Arabidopsis thaliana: one gene and its partners. The protein of the gene in region 3 interacts with the protein of the main gene of each other region in a pairwise test. Each region holds a gene or a part of one and is shown on either strand. Other genes may lie near its edges.

Evidence for each region.
Region 1: the proteins of AT4G14740 (region 3) and PTAC7 interact in a two-hybrid assay, tested with the Arabidopsis thaliana proteins (one large-scale study listed by BioGRID).
Region 2: the proteins of AT4G14740 (region 3) and MORF6 interact in a two-hybrid assay, tested with the Arabidopsis thaliana proteins (one large-scale study listed by BioGRID).

What each region holds. Positions count from the first base shown.
Region 1 is NC_003076.8:8,275,454-8,280,069, reverse strand, and holds PTAC7 (plastid transcriptionally active7), read right to left. Parts: upstream 2,371-4,616; 5' UTR 2,321-2,370; coding exon 2,279-2,320; intron 2,198-2,278; coding exon 2,150-2,197; intron 2,072-2,149; coding exon 1,988-2,071; intron 1,307-1,987; coding exon 971-1,306; 3' UTR 876-970; downstream 1-875. Other genes in the region: AT5G24316 (proline-rich family protein), read left to right, coding at 135-210, 320-360, 458-565, 645-797; AT5G24313 (uncharacterized protein), read left to right, coding at 2,719-2,964; ABIL3 (ABL interactor-like protein 3), read right to left, coding at 3,745-3,921, 4,002-4,129, 4,213-4,307, 4,382-4,424, 4,503-4,595. UniProt on the Arabidopsis thaliana protein: Essential for chloroplast development, especially for thylakoid formation. Involved in plastid gene expression, probably by maintaining plastid-encoded RNA polymerase (PEP) activity.
Region 2 is NC_003071.7:14,843,682-14,848,434, reverse strand, and holds MORF6 (plastid developmental protein DAG), read left to right. Parts: upstream 1-2,075; 5' UTR 2,076-2,172; coding exon 2,173-2,561; intron 2,562-2,647; coding exon 2,648-2,745; intron 2,746-2,840; coding exon 2,841-2,906; intron 2,907-3,190; coding exon 3,191-3,336; 3' UTR 3,337-3,539; downstream 3,540-4,753. Other genes in the region: AT2G35250 (NEP-interacting protein, putative (DUF239)), read left to right, coding at 1-15, 350-496, 681-845, 942-995, 1,123-1,269, 1,402-1,773; IKU1 (VQ motif-containing protein), read right to left, coding at 4,356-4,753. UniProt on the Arabidopsis thaliana protein: Involved in organellar RNA editing. Required for the processing of few RNA editing sites in mitochondria.
Region 3 is NC_003075.7:8,449,367-8,456,756, forward strand, and holds AT4G14740 (auxin canalization protein (DUF828)), read right to left. Parts: upstream 4,794-7,390; 5' UTR 4,581-4,793; coding exon 4,269-4,580; intron 3,902-4,268; coding exon 3,791-3,901; exon of another isoform or gene 3,314-3,790; coding exon of another isoform or gene 3,308-3,313; coding exon 2,863-3,307; intron 2,626-2,862; coding exon 2,383-2,625; intron 2,300-2,382; coding exon 2,250-2,299; intron 1,897-2,249; coding exon 1,839-1,896; coding exon of another isoform or gene 1,831-1,838; exon of another isoform or gene 1,410-1,830; coding exon 1,201-1,409; 3' UTR 1,171-1,200; exon of another isoform or gene 1,090-1,170; 3' UTR 792-1,089; downstream 1-791. Other genes in the region: AT4G14730 (Bax inhibitor-1 family protein), read left to right, coding at 202-359, 438-635.

The DNA of each region.
Region 1 (4,616 bases), on a different chromosome or scaffold from region 3:
CGGATTCATCTAGTCAATGTGATGCGTTATCTTCATAATTACGATTGACTACTATATATCTCTGTCTTCGTATATATGTGTATCTCAACTTATACTATAAAAATCAATTCACATATCACCAAAACAAAACAAAAATGAGAGAATCTGACTTAAGGATGAAGCTAGTGATACTAGTATCTTTCTTGCTCGTTCTCCCAATGTTTTCTTCAGGTATATAGATCTGATCAACTAACATATGCAAACTTATAGTAGCTTTAACATTTTATATAGGTCAATATAGAACTCCGAATTGAATAAATATGCTTCATATTTTTGTTAGGGATCGTTGAGACTTTGCATCATGACAACATCAACCGCAAGGTATTAACAATCACGGTTCTAAAAGCGTTATATATTTGATTACAAATATGCATCAAAACTAAAAACAAAAAGATATAAAACTTGTTGATTTAAAAAGGTTAAAGAGATGGTCATGAATGGAAGAAGAATCGATCTGGAGATGGACTACGCTGGGCCGCATCTAAGACCTCCCAAGCCATCCGACCCTACAATTCCAGGAACACAAGTACGTGCCCTATAGCAAAAATGAAGTATTACGAAAAGTGTCTTCCTTTTTTAATAGTGTATGAGTTTGGTTTTGAAAGGTTGATGAGGTTGTGACAAAGGAACCAACTGTCTATAACAAAGAAGACTATGGGGACTGGTCTCCAAGACCAATCCCAAAACGACCAATGCCATATGTACCTCCTCCTCCTCCTCCACCGACACGACGACCTCCTTTCACCACAAATCACTAGACCGTTACTTTTACTAAACTCTTGTCATTAGACTTTCGTCTTCATCTAGTAAATCTAAATAAATAAAATGAAATTTGGCCAAGAAAACAACAAAGCTGTGAATGCATTGATTTGGTTTTGGTAATACAAGAACAAAAGCTGTAAAGTACATTGACACTTTTTGTTATAATATATCAAGTGTAGTACTCCAACAAATAGCCAGGACCGGGTTTGTAAGGATCAGCTTCTACATAAGCCTCAGGGCGATCAAAGCCGAGATCGTTCACACGGTTGCTTAGAACATGAAAGATGGCTTTTTTGGAACCTCCATATTCGTCTCTGTTCTTGTCCACGTACTCTGTTGCTTCAGCTGCTACGCTATTGACAAATTCAAACCGATTGTCTTCCCTCAAAAGAAGCTGCTCTATGTCCATTGTCATTACCTTCCCAACTTCTCTTATCTTCCTTACTTGTTCTTCCACAAATGGAACTCTTTGCATTTTGTAACGCAACATATCGTCCTTCTTCGTCTACAGACAAAACAGGAGAACGACATAGAGAGATTAAAAGCGGGACAAATATAAACAAAGATTTTGCATTGTTCTGGCTTTGGTAATTATTGAAATCTCAAAACCTCATGAACCTGATAGGATCAAACAACAGAAACTGATAGTTTGTAGAATATAGTACAAGTAAAAAGATCACACTAATATTTTATGTAATGTGTAACTCCCACCTAAAAATCCCAGTATCTCAGATAAGACAATCTCCAATTTCTTGCATGTGCCATAGAGATAAGACCATGGTTACTTGAATATATATAAGTAAACACTAACTAGAGGTAAAAAGCCATGTTTCTTTAAGTTCATCAACAGTATAAGAACTAAAGCTAGCGTCTGAAATGAGCATAGTTCAACAAAGACACTTTTGAAACAGGTGTGTAAGCTAATTTGGAATCAAGAAGGGTAAACTAGAAATCGCAAAAACTCAGAGAAGACAATCTCCATCTCTCCTTCTATGCATCATATCAATTACTATGACTAAGTAAAGACTAACTAGAGTTAATAGTCATGCCTCATCAGTGAGTTAAAGCTAATCTGTGATCCTACTAAAAATTGCAACTTTTTAGAAATGTCGTCTCCAAGCAAAGAAAAACCCTTATTTTGATTCCTGATTCGACTTATGTCATAAACATGAAACTGGAAAATCACCAAAATATCAAGTTTAGTACTTACCAATGTTCTCCTCCGCCAAACACGGCGTCCATTATCATCTCTCTGAATCCCACAAGAAACCTGAAAAAATCAACCAGATTCACTCAAAACTCTCCCCCAAAAACCCACAAATTCGTATATATATCAACCATTCAAAACCTGAGACTGAAATGTGCATCGCAAATTCCCACTTCTCGTATCAATAATCTGAATATACAATAATTGAAAATGAGAAATCACATTGACATCAAAGGATGATTATGAGAGAAGCAAAGGAGGGATTTTTACAGGTAAAATCGAAGATGGAGAAGAACAGGTGAAGGAAGCCATTGATACACAGTGAATAGATAGAACCGGATCCTATTTTATATGTAAGCTTCTCCGGTTCGGTTTAATGGTTTATCTTTGGTTGTGTTCGTATTTGGACAAATCATTCCTAACCGAACCGGGCATTTTTTTTTCTCGTCATTTTATCTATACAATAATAATTCAACTTGCACAAAAAAAAAATCTAAAACAAATCAAAACTAACAACAAATCTAAAATCATATAATTTTACTTGGTACACAAAAATAATATTTTTCAGAAATCAATCAATCTAATAATAGTTAGTGGGAACCCTCTATTGTGACTTTGTGAGCTATGTATATACATAAGACATTACAAGATGGAACCTCAACATAGTTGATAAGCAAAGAAATTAACTCTATCGATCACCGGATGAGAAAATGGCTTCTAGGAATCATCTCTTAATATGTTGTGTTCTCTTAGCTATGATCATGATCGGGCATGCTCAAACCAACCGGAAACTTCTTGACGATAATGTACCATCATCTTATTTTCCATCGATGGAGTCTCGTCAGGTTTTTCTTCCTTCTTCTCATCGTTCACTTGTTGCTGAGCATTACGACAGATCACCACCTCCACCACCACCCAAAAGATCAGAAGTTGAACCCCAAACTGATGGTGTCTAGACCATTGAGTGATGGTGAGAATCGGCCCTGATGAAAAGACTCGTGAGTTGGTACCATGTTTTGAAAGAGCATACATATGTTTTGATGTTTGGTTTTATGATCCGGTTTATAAGAGCTACCTAATTTTTGAAGGCTTGGTTTGATTTAGTTTTCTTTGCTTTCTAAAGTAAAATCTCCGGAAAAGTTGTCTCTGTTTTTTTCTTCTTTATTTTTATCTGTATACGTGTACTTCATTCTTGGTGACAATAAATTTGACTTGTTTCAAATTAATTAATGTAATATTTGTAAATGGTAAGTTAATACAACAGAAAAGTCGATGATACTATCTTTTTGAATAGGTAGATTTACCGAACGAATACCACATTACCACGGCTTAAAAAAAAAAAAAGAAAAAAGGGAGGATTAGTCTCAAACATTCTTAATCAATTTCAAAAACTGGATAAATAAAAGCAAAAGTTTCAAAAACATAATTATTCTTGCAACAGTAATTGATGCAAAATATATATTAAACTGTCAAATAATATTTCGAGAACGAAATTGTATATATAAACTTGCTGTTAATTTGGTTAAAATCGGCAGTAAAATAATTCACAGCAAGTTTTACTACGCTTGTAAACAAAACTGCATTCACACTCTGACAGTCATAAGGTATACACAAAATCATAGAATCATGGACATATTTTGTAACACATATATTGACAATTTGACATTACGTAAATGCAATTAAAACTGGAATGTAATTTCCGGTTTACCAGTCAACATACAAAACCAGCTTTCGGTTTAATATTCGTCCAAATAAGTGTAGAGCGTATCGTCCTTCTTTGTTTTGCGTCGGCTAAGTAGCGCCTTTAGCAGCCGTTTGCTCTTGCTCGGTTGTTGTTGATGCTCTGGTTCTTTCTGAGCTTCTTTCTCGAACGCAACCCGAACCGAAGCCGATCTTCTTGGTTCTGACGGATACTGAGCCAGAAAATATCAAGAATCAACCGTTAGAGATAGAGCCTAGAAGTGAGTGTTTTTGAAATGTAACCGAAGCTTACCCGTTTAGGAGTTGGAGTTACCGCTCTACTCTTGCTCGGGGTTGTTGGCCGGCTGATTGATGACGGTCGGATAGCAACCGAACCAGATCTTAGCAGCGGAAACCGATGTGGTGATACTGCTCGCTTATCTATTTTACCATGCACACTGTTTAAAGGTTCTGTTTACATATTAAGCCAAAAACGGCAATTTCAAGGTGAAGCTGTCTTTTACCTTGTTCTTTCTTTGGTGCGGTGGCGATAGAGGAGAACGAAAAGGTTGCTGAACGTTGAGGTTTCCGTTGAGAGGGAGACTGAAGTATCGGTTTTCTGCAAAAAGCGATAAAAGTTTAGTACTTCTCGGTCATTTGACAAGGGAACTCACTATGAGTACTGGACTATACCTAACAGGTGGTGGAGGCGTTTCACGAATTGTAGCGCGAACAGCTTTAAGAATTCACAACAAGAAACATATCAAATCAAGAATCAAGGCAATTTCTAAGTAAATGAAATGGCAATTTATACCATTTCTGAATTGGTTCCAGTCATCTTCTCCATCAAAACTACCTTCAACATTCTTAAGCTTTGCGAGGTTGCCACCTCTTTTGATTTCACCAGCTGATAGAGAATTTCGTTTTT
Region 2 (4,753 bases), on a different chromosome or scaffold from region 3:
GATCACAAGATCCAGGTAACGTAGCATATATCGTTGGGCAAAATATTTGAGTTTCGAAATCTAATCCGACCTAGAAATTATCTAGATTTTTTCATATTAGAATTAGATCTCGCATATTCTATTTATTTTATAAAAGTAGAGTTCAAAGTTTATGTATGATAAGTAACTTTTGTTATAGTCAAGGATGGGTATTCCTAAGAAACTTTTGGATGAATATGTTAATGTTAGTTTATAAATTTATAAAATGTGAATAAAATAGTTGTGGTTAATCAAATATGAAAATAGGACTTCGGGAGACATCAAAACTGACGAATCTTATTCTTCCTTTGTTACTTGTGGTATAATGTAGGAAACATTCAGCCTAGATGGAAAAATTGAAAGAAGCAACAAATATAATACAAAAGAGCATTGTCCAAAAGGAACCGTTGCAATTTTGAGACAAAGAAATGTATCCAAGGGCGTTCATTTGAATACCGCCGAGTATTCTGGTCAACATGTATGTCTTCTCCTAATCTTGGTTTTTGAAAGGAGTTACAAAATTTCATCTAGTTGTTAAGACATTCTAATAATCTATTCGTTTTACGTAAAATTAAAGGAGAACATCAAAACATCCGATTGTTATTCATGCAAAATATATATTATAGATGAAAATTAAACTAACATATTGATGAAATTTGCAGTTTGCAACAATTGAGACCATTTTAGATGGAAGTATATATCGGGGAGCAGAAGCTGATATAAGTATTCATGATTTGAAACTGCAAAATAACCAATACAGTAAAAGTCAAATATGGTTAGAGAATGGACCTCCAGGTCAACTCAATAGTATACAAGCTGGTTTGGCAGTAAGTCAGTTCTATCAAACTTGCTAAAGATTTTGCGTTCCATAATCTGTTTTTTTTTTAACATACATAATCTTTTTTATATTTATTTCTGTTTAGGTACATCCAAGATTGTACGGTGATAGTGTCACACGATTTACAATATATTGGACTGTGAGTAATTTTTAGCTACTCTTATTCTTTTAAGAACATTATTAATCAGCTTAGAGTAAAAAAATAAAATAAGAGATCAAAACGTCTTTCATTATTTTACATGTGTAACAAATATTATTATATGTAGGGAGATGGTTATCAGAAAACTGGGTGCTATAATACACAATGCCCTGGCTTTGTGGTTGTAAGTCGAAATTCAAGAATTGGAAGCGGATTTTGGGGAACATCTGTCTATGGTAAAACAAGTCTTACGTTTAAATTGCAAGTTTTTCAGGTAAATTTCTGTTTATCCTTTTTAAGAAAAAGATTTATATAATTAGTTTAGACTTTAGATGAACTTATCATATTACACCATACTTGTTGGAGTATTTAGTTTTCATTTTTTCTTTTGTTTTATATGTATTAGGATGGCTTCAGCGGAAATTGGGCACTTAAAATGTTTGATGAAGTCATTGGTTATTGGCCTAAAGAGTTATTTTCACATTTGAATAATGGAGCTTCTCTAGTAAGATATGGAGGAAATACTTTTGAATCTCCCGATGGAATCAGTCCTCCAATGGGCAATGGGTTTTTTCCAGTTGCGGACTTTAAAAAGACGGCACATTTTAATAACGTCGTTGTTATAAACTCGGACTATAAAAGAGTTTACATTGAAGGTAGGAAAATACGACTTTATGTCGATTCCTATAATTGTTTTAGGGCGACATATTGGGGTTATACCAAATCTACAGGAGAAGCCTTTTCATTTGGAGGACCAGGTGGAAATTGTGGTTTTTGATGATTTGATAATATATATATATATATATATATATATATCAACCAAATTGTATCAAATTTCAAATAAGAATAAAATCATCTAATCTATTCATATTTTCTTACTGAAAAGTATGTAAATAATAAAACATGATCATCACTAAAACCAAAACTTTACAAGAGAAGGTGGAAACATCATCAACGTTTTGGTCTGAGACTCTGAGTGATACCAATGGTATCATACCATACCAAACGAATTATCATCTCTCATTCAAATGGGCCTCATATTTAGACATGATAAGGCCCATTAATAACAAATTACAAGCCCAATTTGTTTTACTCTCTTTCGTTTTCTTCAATCGTATCCATAAACCCTAGTCTCGTCGTCTTCGTCGATCATCGCCGGGAAACCACACCAGTCTCAATGGCGAAAACTCTATCCCGATCCACCGCCTCATGCGTCGCTAAGCGTTTCTTTTCCACCTCCAATGCCGTCGCCTCTCCTTCTCCGCTTCCTTCTCATCTCATCTCTCGTCGATTCTCACCGACGATCTTCCACGCCGTCGGATACATCCCAGCTTTGACCCGCTTCACAACGATCCGGACCCGGATGGATAGGTCTGGCGGCTCATATTCGCCGCTTAAATCCGGATCAAACTTCAGCGATCGACCACCCACTGAAATGGCACCTCTATTTCCTGGTTGCGATTACGAGCATTGGCTTATCGTCATGGAGAAGCCCGGAGGTGAAAATGCTCAGAAACAGCAAATGATCGATTGCTATGTTCAAACCCTAGCTAAAATTGTTGGCAGGTGAGTGTCTTTGTCATGTTCGTTAGTGTTATTCCTCAGCTACTTCACTATAACAAACTGAATCTGATTGTTGTTTGGTTTAATAGTGAGGAAGAGGCTAGAAAGAAGATCTATAATGTTTCGTGTGAGAGGTATTTTGGGTTTGGCTGTGAGATTGATGAGGAGACATCAAACAAACTCGAAGGTATCTTTTTGTAACACTTGTTGTGTATGATACTGTAGCATAGCACCCGATGATGTGAATGTAATTGATGGAATTGGGTCTTTTGTGAGTTTCAGGACTTCCTGGTGTTCTGTTCGTGCTTCCGGACTCTTATGTTGATCCAGAGTTCAAAGATTACGGAGGTAAGTAGTATCATCAACTTTGTTCTGCATTTTCTTAATGTCCTTTGTCATAATCATAATCATCAAGAACTTGTCTGATCAAAGTCTGGTTTGCATCACTCTTAAGTAAACACTGAAACTTAACTGCATTTTCAAGCAAACAATATTCTGTGATGATGCATTTGTTCGTATGTATGAAAGATTGAACTTGCTAAGGGCTTCTCTGGTTTATGTACATAAAATTTTGTTGATTCTATCAGTTTAGCTTATAAACTCATTGCTGAATGTTTGTTATGCAAATGTAGCTGAACTGTTTGTGAATGGAGAAGTAGTTCCTCGTCCACCAGAGAGACAGAGGAGGATGGTGGAGTTAACGAATCAAAGAGGGTCGGATAAACCAAAGTACCATGACCGAATCAGAAATGTCCGACGGAGGGAGAACATGCGTTGACTCTTATTATTCTCAGACTTTACGCTAGAGCAATCATTTCGATTTGATCTCCGATGCTTTTTTTTGTTGGTTTGTTCTTTTAATTTGCTAGACTCTTAATGAATAATGTATATGATGGTGTTTTGGTGATATCGAATGTATCAATTGTTTCTGCAACTAATTTTCATCTCTCCATTAATCTCAATAATTGTCAAAAGATTCAACTCCTGACCCCAACCTTCAAGTAAAATAGTATTCGACTCAGCCCGTGCCTATGACATAAGAAAATAAACTTTGGCCTACGACCTTTAGCGAAAAAACAAAGACACTAGCGCTCCAGTGTTGTCCAGATATTATGTTGATCCAGAGTACAATGATTATGGAGGTAAGTGGATCAACACGGTTCTGCATTTTCATAAGTCTGTGTATTCATTGATCATTTCTTTGATGCCATGTGTCATAATCCTTGGAGAAAATTTCGGATCGAAGTCTTTTTTTTGGTACCATCTTTTGTAGTTCTGTGAGTTGATCTTTTTAGGTGATATCAATATACAAATTGTTTCTGCATCTATTGTTAAATATTATCCAAAAAATTCTTCACTTATCAATCTTTCTTGTGAAGAAACGAATTAATAATATGTTATTGATCATTATTTTTGTTCTTAGTAAAAGTAGAGAGACATTTGCTTTAAAAACACCCAAAAAATCATATAAATTGAACTGAGTTCGTCTGTAGTATGTGTACAATGTAAGCAAAGATAAAACTAAGTTTGTGATAAACAAAAACAAAGGTAATCATCATCATCCCAAGATTCCCAACTTTTGACCTATTAAAATCCCACAGAGAAAAAACCCCTATAAATCTTTCTTTCTTCTAAAAGCTCCTTTAGTGTTTTACGCATCTATTCTGCTGCGTCTATTCCACTGTAGGCTCTGAAGTTTTAAGCTTCTTTCAAAGGTACAGACTAACCTAAGGAAACCTGAATAAACATAATCCGATTTACTTAATTTAATGAATCTGATGGAGAGAAAAAGAGCACCTAGTAATCATTCCATCTTGGACTTGGCATGGGGAAGAACCCGGATGGAGATAACGGGAACATGAGCCCTGGAGAAGGAGGAGGCTGAGGAGGACCTTGACTTGGACCTGCACCGGGTCCAAGACTTCCTTGTTGAGCAATTTGTGAAAATGAGAAGTTTGGGGTAAGTGGTTGAGGATACTGAACTCCTGGTGACAGCAATGGGTAAGGCGATCTCGGAGAGAACATATTCGGGTAACCGGTAGGAGATGGTTGAAGAAATTGGGATGTAGGTGACTGCAGTGGTCCAAAACCGTTATATCGAGGAGAAGGAAATCCACCATACATCTGACTGAACATGGGAGAGGGCTGAGTAGGCGTCACAGGTACAGGAGCATTGAACCGAGGAGAAGGAAGAT
Region 3 (7,390 bases):
TTGATTAGATAGTACTGTTTTCTTAACCATAAAAGTTGAAATTTAGTATCTTGTTGGCTTTAACATGGTGAATCATGAAAAAGAGGAACATGGCATGAGATGCTTTCATGCTTTTTTGTCAAGCAACTTATTAACTCTGTTTCCTATAACTAGAGTTACACCATTTGGTTAGAATCTAATTTCCAAGTATTGTGAAAACAGGGAGGATTGTTCTGGAGGCTGCAATTCTCACAGCTGTGATGGTCTTTGGTCTAACGATCTACACCTTCTGGGCAGTGAAGAGAGGACATGATTTCTCCTTCCTTGGACCATTCCTCTTTGGTGCTCTCCTCATTATCCTTGTCTTCACCCTTTTGCAGGTACTAACTCAGTAACTCTCAATCTATTCAAAGTTTTGGGATATATTATCACAAAGCTAAACAATGAAATGAATGCAGATATTCCACCCTCTGGGGAAGCTATCATCGATGATATTCAGCGGAATAGCTTCAATAGTGTTCTGCGGATACATCATCTTCGACACCAATCAGCTGATCAAGAAACTCAACTACGACGAATATATCACTGCAGCGATTCGTCTATACCTCGACGTTATGAATCTCTTCCTCAGTCTCCTCGGCATTATAAGCAACTGAACGTTATGAATCTCAATCTCCTATAGTATTCTACTTATTCCAGACATAGATTTATCGAATATTAAGAACACATGTTTATGGCTTGATTAAGTTGTTAACAATACCAAAGGTCCAAAACATTCTACATAAGCAAACAATCCTTAATGATTTATTTGTCTCCTTGTGAGTTTAGAAATATAGGCAGCTTCTTTGGTCAATCAATGGATAGATATTACAACAATAATGGGACAAAAAAGAAGCATATTTGATGTTGTTCCCAATAAAATATTGAAATTGGACCCATCAATTTTAAAATTAAAACATACTATATATCTATTACTTCAACTTTGTTTTTTTATACAAAAAGACCACCAACAACCAAAAAAAAACTAAGAACATAGATATTACAGATCACCCCCACTAAGTTTTGTTTACCCAAATGCTTCCTCACCTTGACTGGTAGGTCCATTTTATCCTATACCCAACCCAAAAAACCATTACCTTAAAAGAACCCCTACTAATGAAATTTGACCACATAAGTTAAAAAAAAACTCACACTTAAACCAAGCAGCCATTGAACGTTTATTCACATCCTAAACTTCCTCTCAGCAGCAAGAACAAGAAGCCTTGAGACACCTTGTGTCCACATTTCATATTCCCTTTGGCTCTTGACCTCGAATTCAACATCACCTCGCATAACCGTCTTCAAACCGAAGTATCTTAGATCATCTCCTCCCTCTAGCAAATGTCGTCCAGGCCAGGCCGGGACATTCTTGATCACATCAAGCACAATGTCTGTAACAAAATTGGAAAGATAGTAAAATAATTAATAGAAGAGTCTTCTTCAAGTTCACATTCAAAAGCAAGACAAAAAGTAAAAGATTGAAGGGATTTGATCCTATAGTTACTTTAGTCACATATACACTTTTGCTTTTTCAATTTTTTTTCCTTTTCTCGTCTCAAATCCCCATATCTAAAGCAGACCCACCTCAAAGTTTTGAATTCTCTTTACCAGGTTCACATATAATTGACTCATTGACAGTAGATAGTGACAAAAAGTAAAGCTTTCAATATCAAACTAAAGAAACATTCTTTGTTTTTAAACCCATTAGAAGAATCATCTGAAATGTCTTGGAAGGAATTAGAGAAATCTCCAACCAAACTATTCAGGGTTTAAAGTGGTGTTATACTTATAGTATGTAAAAAGAGTAAATAATCACTTACTCTTTTTCTTCTTGGTGAAGGTTCCTCCAACATGCCTGCTCTTCATCTTCAACATAACCTATAAGTTCAATAAATCAAAACAAATTAGTGATTCTGTAAGAGATGCTTAAGCAGCAAAGACAAAAGTGGATCCCATGATTTCAGTATCATCATCATTATCAAAACAGTGCTTTTTATTTTTAAGCTTTAGTATTGTTTCTACTTTCTCTTCTTTTCCTGCCGTTTGAAATTTCTCTTTTCTCATCTTTTTGTGTGTTTCATATAACAAAGTTAACATCCATGTGAAGTAACTAAAGATTCCCACTGATTCACAAATAATTTGGCTCTCTTTAATCTTTTTCATCAGATCAACAACGATCATTTCCTAAAGTGAAACGAAACTCGAGGCACAATAAGAAAAAGAATCTTTACCTGATTCATTTTGTTGATGTAAACAGATACTATCTTCCAGTGGAGATCACCTGCAAAAGTCACACATCATTAGACAAAAGATTCAACAACTAAAATTTAAACTTTTAAATACACAAGTTTGAATTTTTCTTACCTTTGCGAGTGCGTTTGAGGAGTTCACAACCTCTAGCGAGCCATTCTCTACTACAAGTTCCCAAGAAATTCTCCTGTTGTACAAGTTCACCACTGTGACTACTGCTTGAGCTTCCATTGCTACCATTAACATTATTGCTGCTTCCTCCTGTAGAAGTGAGTCCTTTATCCATTGGTATCACTGATGCTATGTTCCACACTTCCTTCATTGCCCTTGCCTTCAATGTTTGCACTCCTCTTAAAGCTACACACCAAAAATACAAATCAAATTACCAAAAATTAACTTCTGATTCCTTCATAAAGTTCCAATTTTGAGCCAATCCCTAAATCAATGCTATCATTATCTTCAACAAAATCAAAACTTTAGCAATTCTCATTACAGGGTCAAGAAGTATTAAACATGTTTCAACCTAAAGTCAATCAATTTTAGCGTTTTCTTTTGAAAGTTCCAAACTTTATCAAAACTCTGTACTAAACAAACCTGTAGCTGCTCCGGCGGTGAGAGTCATAATATCTCCGGCAGAACGAACATTGACGGCGGAGCTAACAACAGAAGCCAAATACTCTCTCTCAGCTCCCATAACTTCAGCAGCTTCCACACACTGAGCAGCCACAAGGGTCGCAGCAGAAGCAACGGCCATGTCAGTTTTAGCCATCTGCTCATCCTTACCACAGCTAGAAGACGCAGCGGTGGCTGCTGCAATAGCAGCAACAGCTGCAGCAACGCCGGCGACAGAGACAGCAGCGTGAATCTGAGCGTTATGAGCCCGAGTCTCCTCTTTCTTTTTCTCTCTCCGGTCCTTAAGCCACCGTCCCACCGTCTTGGACTGTGTAGCTGTAGCGGTTATAGGTCCCGGAGTTGCCGCCGTTGAACGGAACTGAGAATTTACACTGTTCAATGAATTTTTGTTCGCTCTGCAAAATTGCTGCATTTTAAGATTAAAAATTTGAGTTTTAGTATCAGAGATTCGCCAGAACCCAGAAGAGTGAAGCAAAATCTAAAAAAGGAAATGTTTTTGGAAGAAGAGTGATGAACAAGAAAAAGACAAAACCAAATCAAGTAAAGGAGATTGCTTTAGACCAAAGTGTCACTAAATAATACTTATTTAATTAAGAAAACCAACAATTCGTTAATGGGTTTAAGGAATAATTATAAAATTGAATTGAAATGATGAAGAATCATCGGAAACAGTAGTGGGAGAAAGACATGATCTCTGGGTATGGTTGGATAAAGAGAAAGCTTCTAGTGAAGATTCTTTTTTTATTTTCACAGTCTCTCATTGTACCCAAAATTGTCAGTGACGCAGTAAAAATTGAAACATTTACATAGAGAGTAACACCAAAACTCAGAAACCCAGAACATGCTTTAGTATCAAAACTAAATACAGTTTTGGTCAAGAAATTGGAACCTTAATGTCGTCGGATTCGGGAGGAGACACAGGAGGACTGTCGGTCAAAGAACCATTAAGTGGACCACTACTGTGAGATAGCCGACCAGATGTTCTTGGTGATACTTCTTGCTGCAAACAAAATTATTAAAGAAGATGAGACAAAAGTAGAATCAAGAAGAAGAGATGATGACAAATCCATAAACTTGTTATTATGTTTTTAGGGACCCAGAAAGCGAGTGTGTAGATAAAAATCGTAACTTTTTTTCTTGATTAATAGTTATAATTATTGCGCGTGAAAATTTTCTCTTCATTAATCACACTTAATAAAGAGAGATTCATGAACATAATTTGCTAAAAATTAAAACTTTGATTGACCATATTTGGGAAATTCTGATGAAAGAAACAAAATAAAATTTGTCAACATCGAAAGTAAAAAAAAAAAGAATGCTTTGTTTTGTCCGGAAATGCTCTGTTTTTATCTGAAGAAAAGACTTACAGAGTGAGACAAGATACGATCCATGACCATTTGAGAAGTTTCTGAACAAGCGAAGGAGAATGGGTTTCCGGTGACAAGTCCGGTGTCTTCCGTGTCGCCGTCGCCGTCTACGACAGAGGAGATGGGTTCTTCTTCTTCTTCTTCTTCGGTTTTGGAGAGGAGAATCTGAGGGTTGGGTGGTGTTAGAGCCTTGGAGACTTCGAGAGCAGAGACGCTCCATGAACGAGCTAAAAACTCCATCGGTTCGAGTGGTGTTTCCGGTGGACGGTAAACCGGGTCGGGTCTCCATGTCGGAACCATGAGTTTTTCCATTTTGAAAGAAAGAGAGAGTGAAGAGAGAGAGAGATATAGAGAGAGATATATAGAGAGAGAGATATAGAGAGAGAGTTTTGATGGAAGTGAAAGGTTGTCAATGGGGATGCGATTTATAGAATGACAAGTGACAACGAAGCTGTTCTTTTCATCACTCTCTCTGCTTTTTCAGCTCTTCCGTTTTTTCTTGCTTTTTCCCTACTACTCTCTTTCTCTCTCTCTAAATGAAAAATAAGCTAAAATTTTGTGAAAAAATAATTAAAAATGAAGCTTTTTTTTTATTTTTGTAAATTTTCCAAATATACGGATATTTTCTGAAATTGGCCATCAATATTTTTTTAGGTTAAACGAGTAATTAAAAAAAAAAAAAATACACAATTCACTTTTTTGTGTGAATTGATATTCCAGAAGGAATTGGAGAACATTTCAAGATTTATTATTTGAACGATTTAGTTATATTAAAGAAAATATCTTTACTTAAAAGACAAAATTTTATGTTGTAAAGTTTAACGTTGTTCTTTTTTGGCAACTTGTTGTATTCTTTTTGGAATACAGGATATAAGTAGAAAATAATCAATAAAAATATGGTTTTTTGTGAAATGTTAATCTCACATCAACAAAAAAGTTGCTTACGTGGTAAATATATAGAATCTCACTCATCTTTTGGATAAAATAAAAAGTTGAAATAGAGTTTGGAACTAATTACTCGTAGAGCAGCTCAACAATTTATTAATGGAAGAAGAAATGAAGGCAAACAAAATCTACTTACAGACCATTTCTGCATTGTTCTAATATTTTTGCCACGTTTCATTTGAAGAACTGTTGATGTTTCTTGAAATCGAATGGAGGACAGTTCTATACTGTTCGAGTTTATAATCGAATGATAGAAAAAAAATAATTGGCATGCGTTGCAATGACAACGATGATTCATAGATAATAAATTAATTACCCGAAATATATGGGGACAAATGAAAGAGACTTATTAATAGATATGCTAAAAATTTAATTGAATTCGATAAGTGTTTTTGAGTTTTTTTTTGTTAGTATAGAGGACATAAATGAGAAGAGAGACCTCTCACCATCTCGTATCTTTCATGAGTAAACCTACGAAAAGCATGGAAGATAAAGCCTCTCGTCGGTCGATCTTCATCTATCAACTAACTACTTGAAGTATATTTAATATTCGATGGATTGATATTTTTCTATGACTTTGATTTTGTTTCCAGGGTTCGTCACTCTTTATAGTTCTTTTAAATAGGAACAAAATGGTTTGACCCCAAAAACAATACGGTCAAAACATCGTATATTATGTAGTTGTAGCCGATAAAGAAACTCGTATATTGAAAATTAAAAATACGTATTTTAATTACCCAAATAGAAACAATCAAACAGCTGTTGAAAAATTACAAAAAAAAAACTAAGAGTAAACTAAGTTAGACTTGAAGTTCTTCTAATTGAGTAAATTACAAGTAAAAAAAAAAACATTTGTAAAGCAAAAGAAGTACGTCGTACGTGTTGGACTGGAACTAAACTACACTGCACTGCAACTAATTTGTACGTTAGATTAGAATCTCAAAAATGTGATCTTCTTTCTTCTCTACTTGCATGCACAAATACTGTATGCTTCCGTACATTCAGTTTCACAATAGTCTTGTCAAATGCATCTTCGCTTCCCTGTCTAAATATGATCACTTTACATAGTTTATTTTGAAACAATCGCAAAAAACAAATAGCTTTTCCAAACAGTGCTGCTGTAACTGAGATATTGTGAATTATACGTGGTGATGTTTAACAGTATATGTGGTACAATTTTGGATTATAAGTTGGTGAAGAAGATTCCTTTATTTTTGTGGGTTTAGGTTAGAGATTGAGTTTGCACAAAAAAAAAAAAAAAAAAGGTTAGAGATTGAGTTCTTTTATAGTATAAGGATCTCCACCATTGTTAATACATTAATGACACTCAATGTTATACAGATTCCGAGAATTATATTTGATTTTCGACGTGAAACTTCTATATCCTTTTTGTATGTTTTGTTTTAGATGTGAAACTTTCTGAATATTAAAAAAATCAATAAAACACATCTTGATATCATAATAAGAATATTTTTCTGAAATACATAGGATTCTTAGAAATACAAAAATTTGATTTCGTAAATAATGAGCAATGTAAAACTGTTTCAAATGAATGATCGCCTCAGGAGAATATGGTCCCCAATCTTGATATGTAACAGACACACCACTCAGCAGTTAGTAGCAGGACTATTCTCATTTCATGCGTTTGGAATTGTGGTTATTATGTTTTCTGATTTCAACTACTTTGTTTAGTACTACTATTCTTTTTTCTTTGTCTCAGATATTATAGTTTATATTCAGATATATCATCATACATCCATTCATTGCATATTTCTTAATGAAGATATTTTTAGATTTTGTTTTGATTAGTTTCAACACTAATGACTCTCTATCTCTCTCCTAAACCTTATTAATTAAATCTTTGGAGAGATTAGAAAAAGTGGTTCCGAGGAATCCATGGGAAATGTAGCTGAACTTCATGATTTCTCATGGTCCCTCTTAATGACACTACCATTGTCCATTTTACAAGTGCTTTCCCTTCCTTTTTCTGTTTAAGTATTTTCACATTATCAACAAAAAATTCACAATCAGCTTATCTAATCAGAATTTCAAAAGAAACATTATTTATAACAGAAAGAAAAAAGGTAATGTTTTCTAATAGTCTAGAATAATATGTATATACACAATCCGCAATGATATCTCCGTGACACATATATAGAAACGTTTGATATGAATTT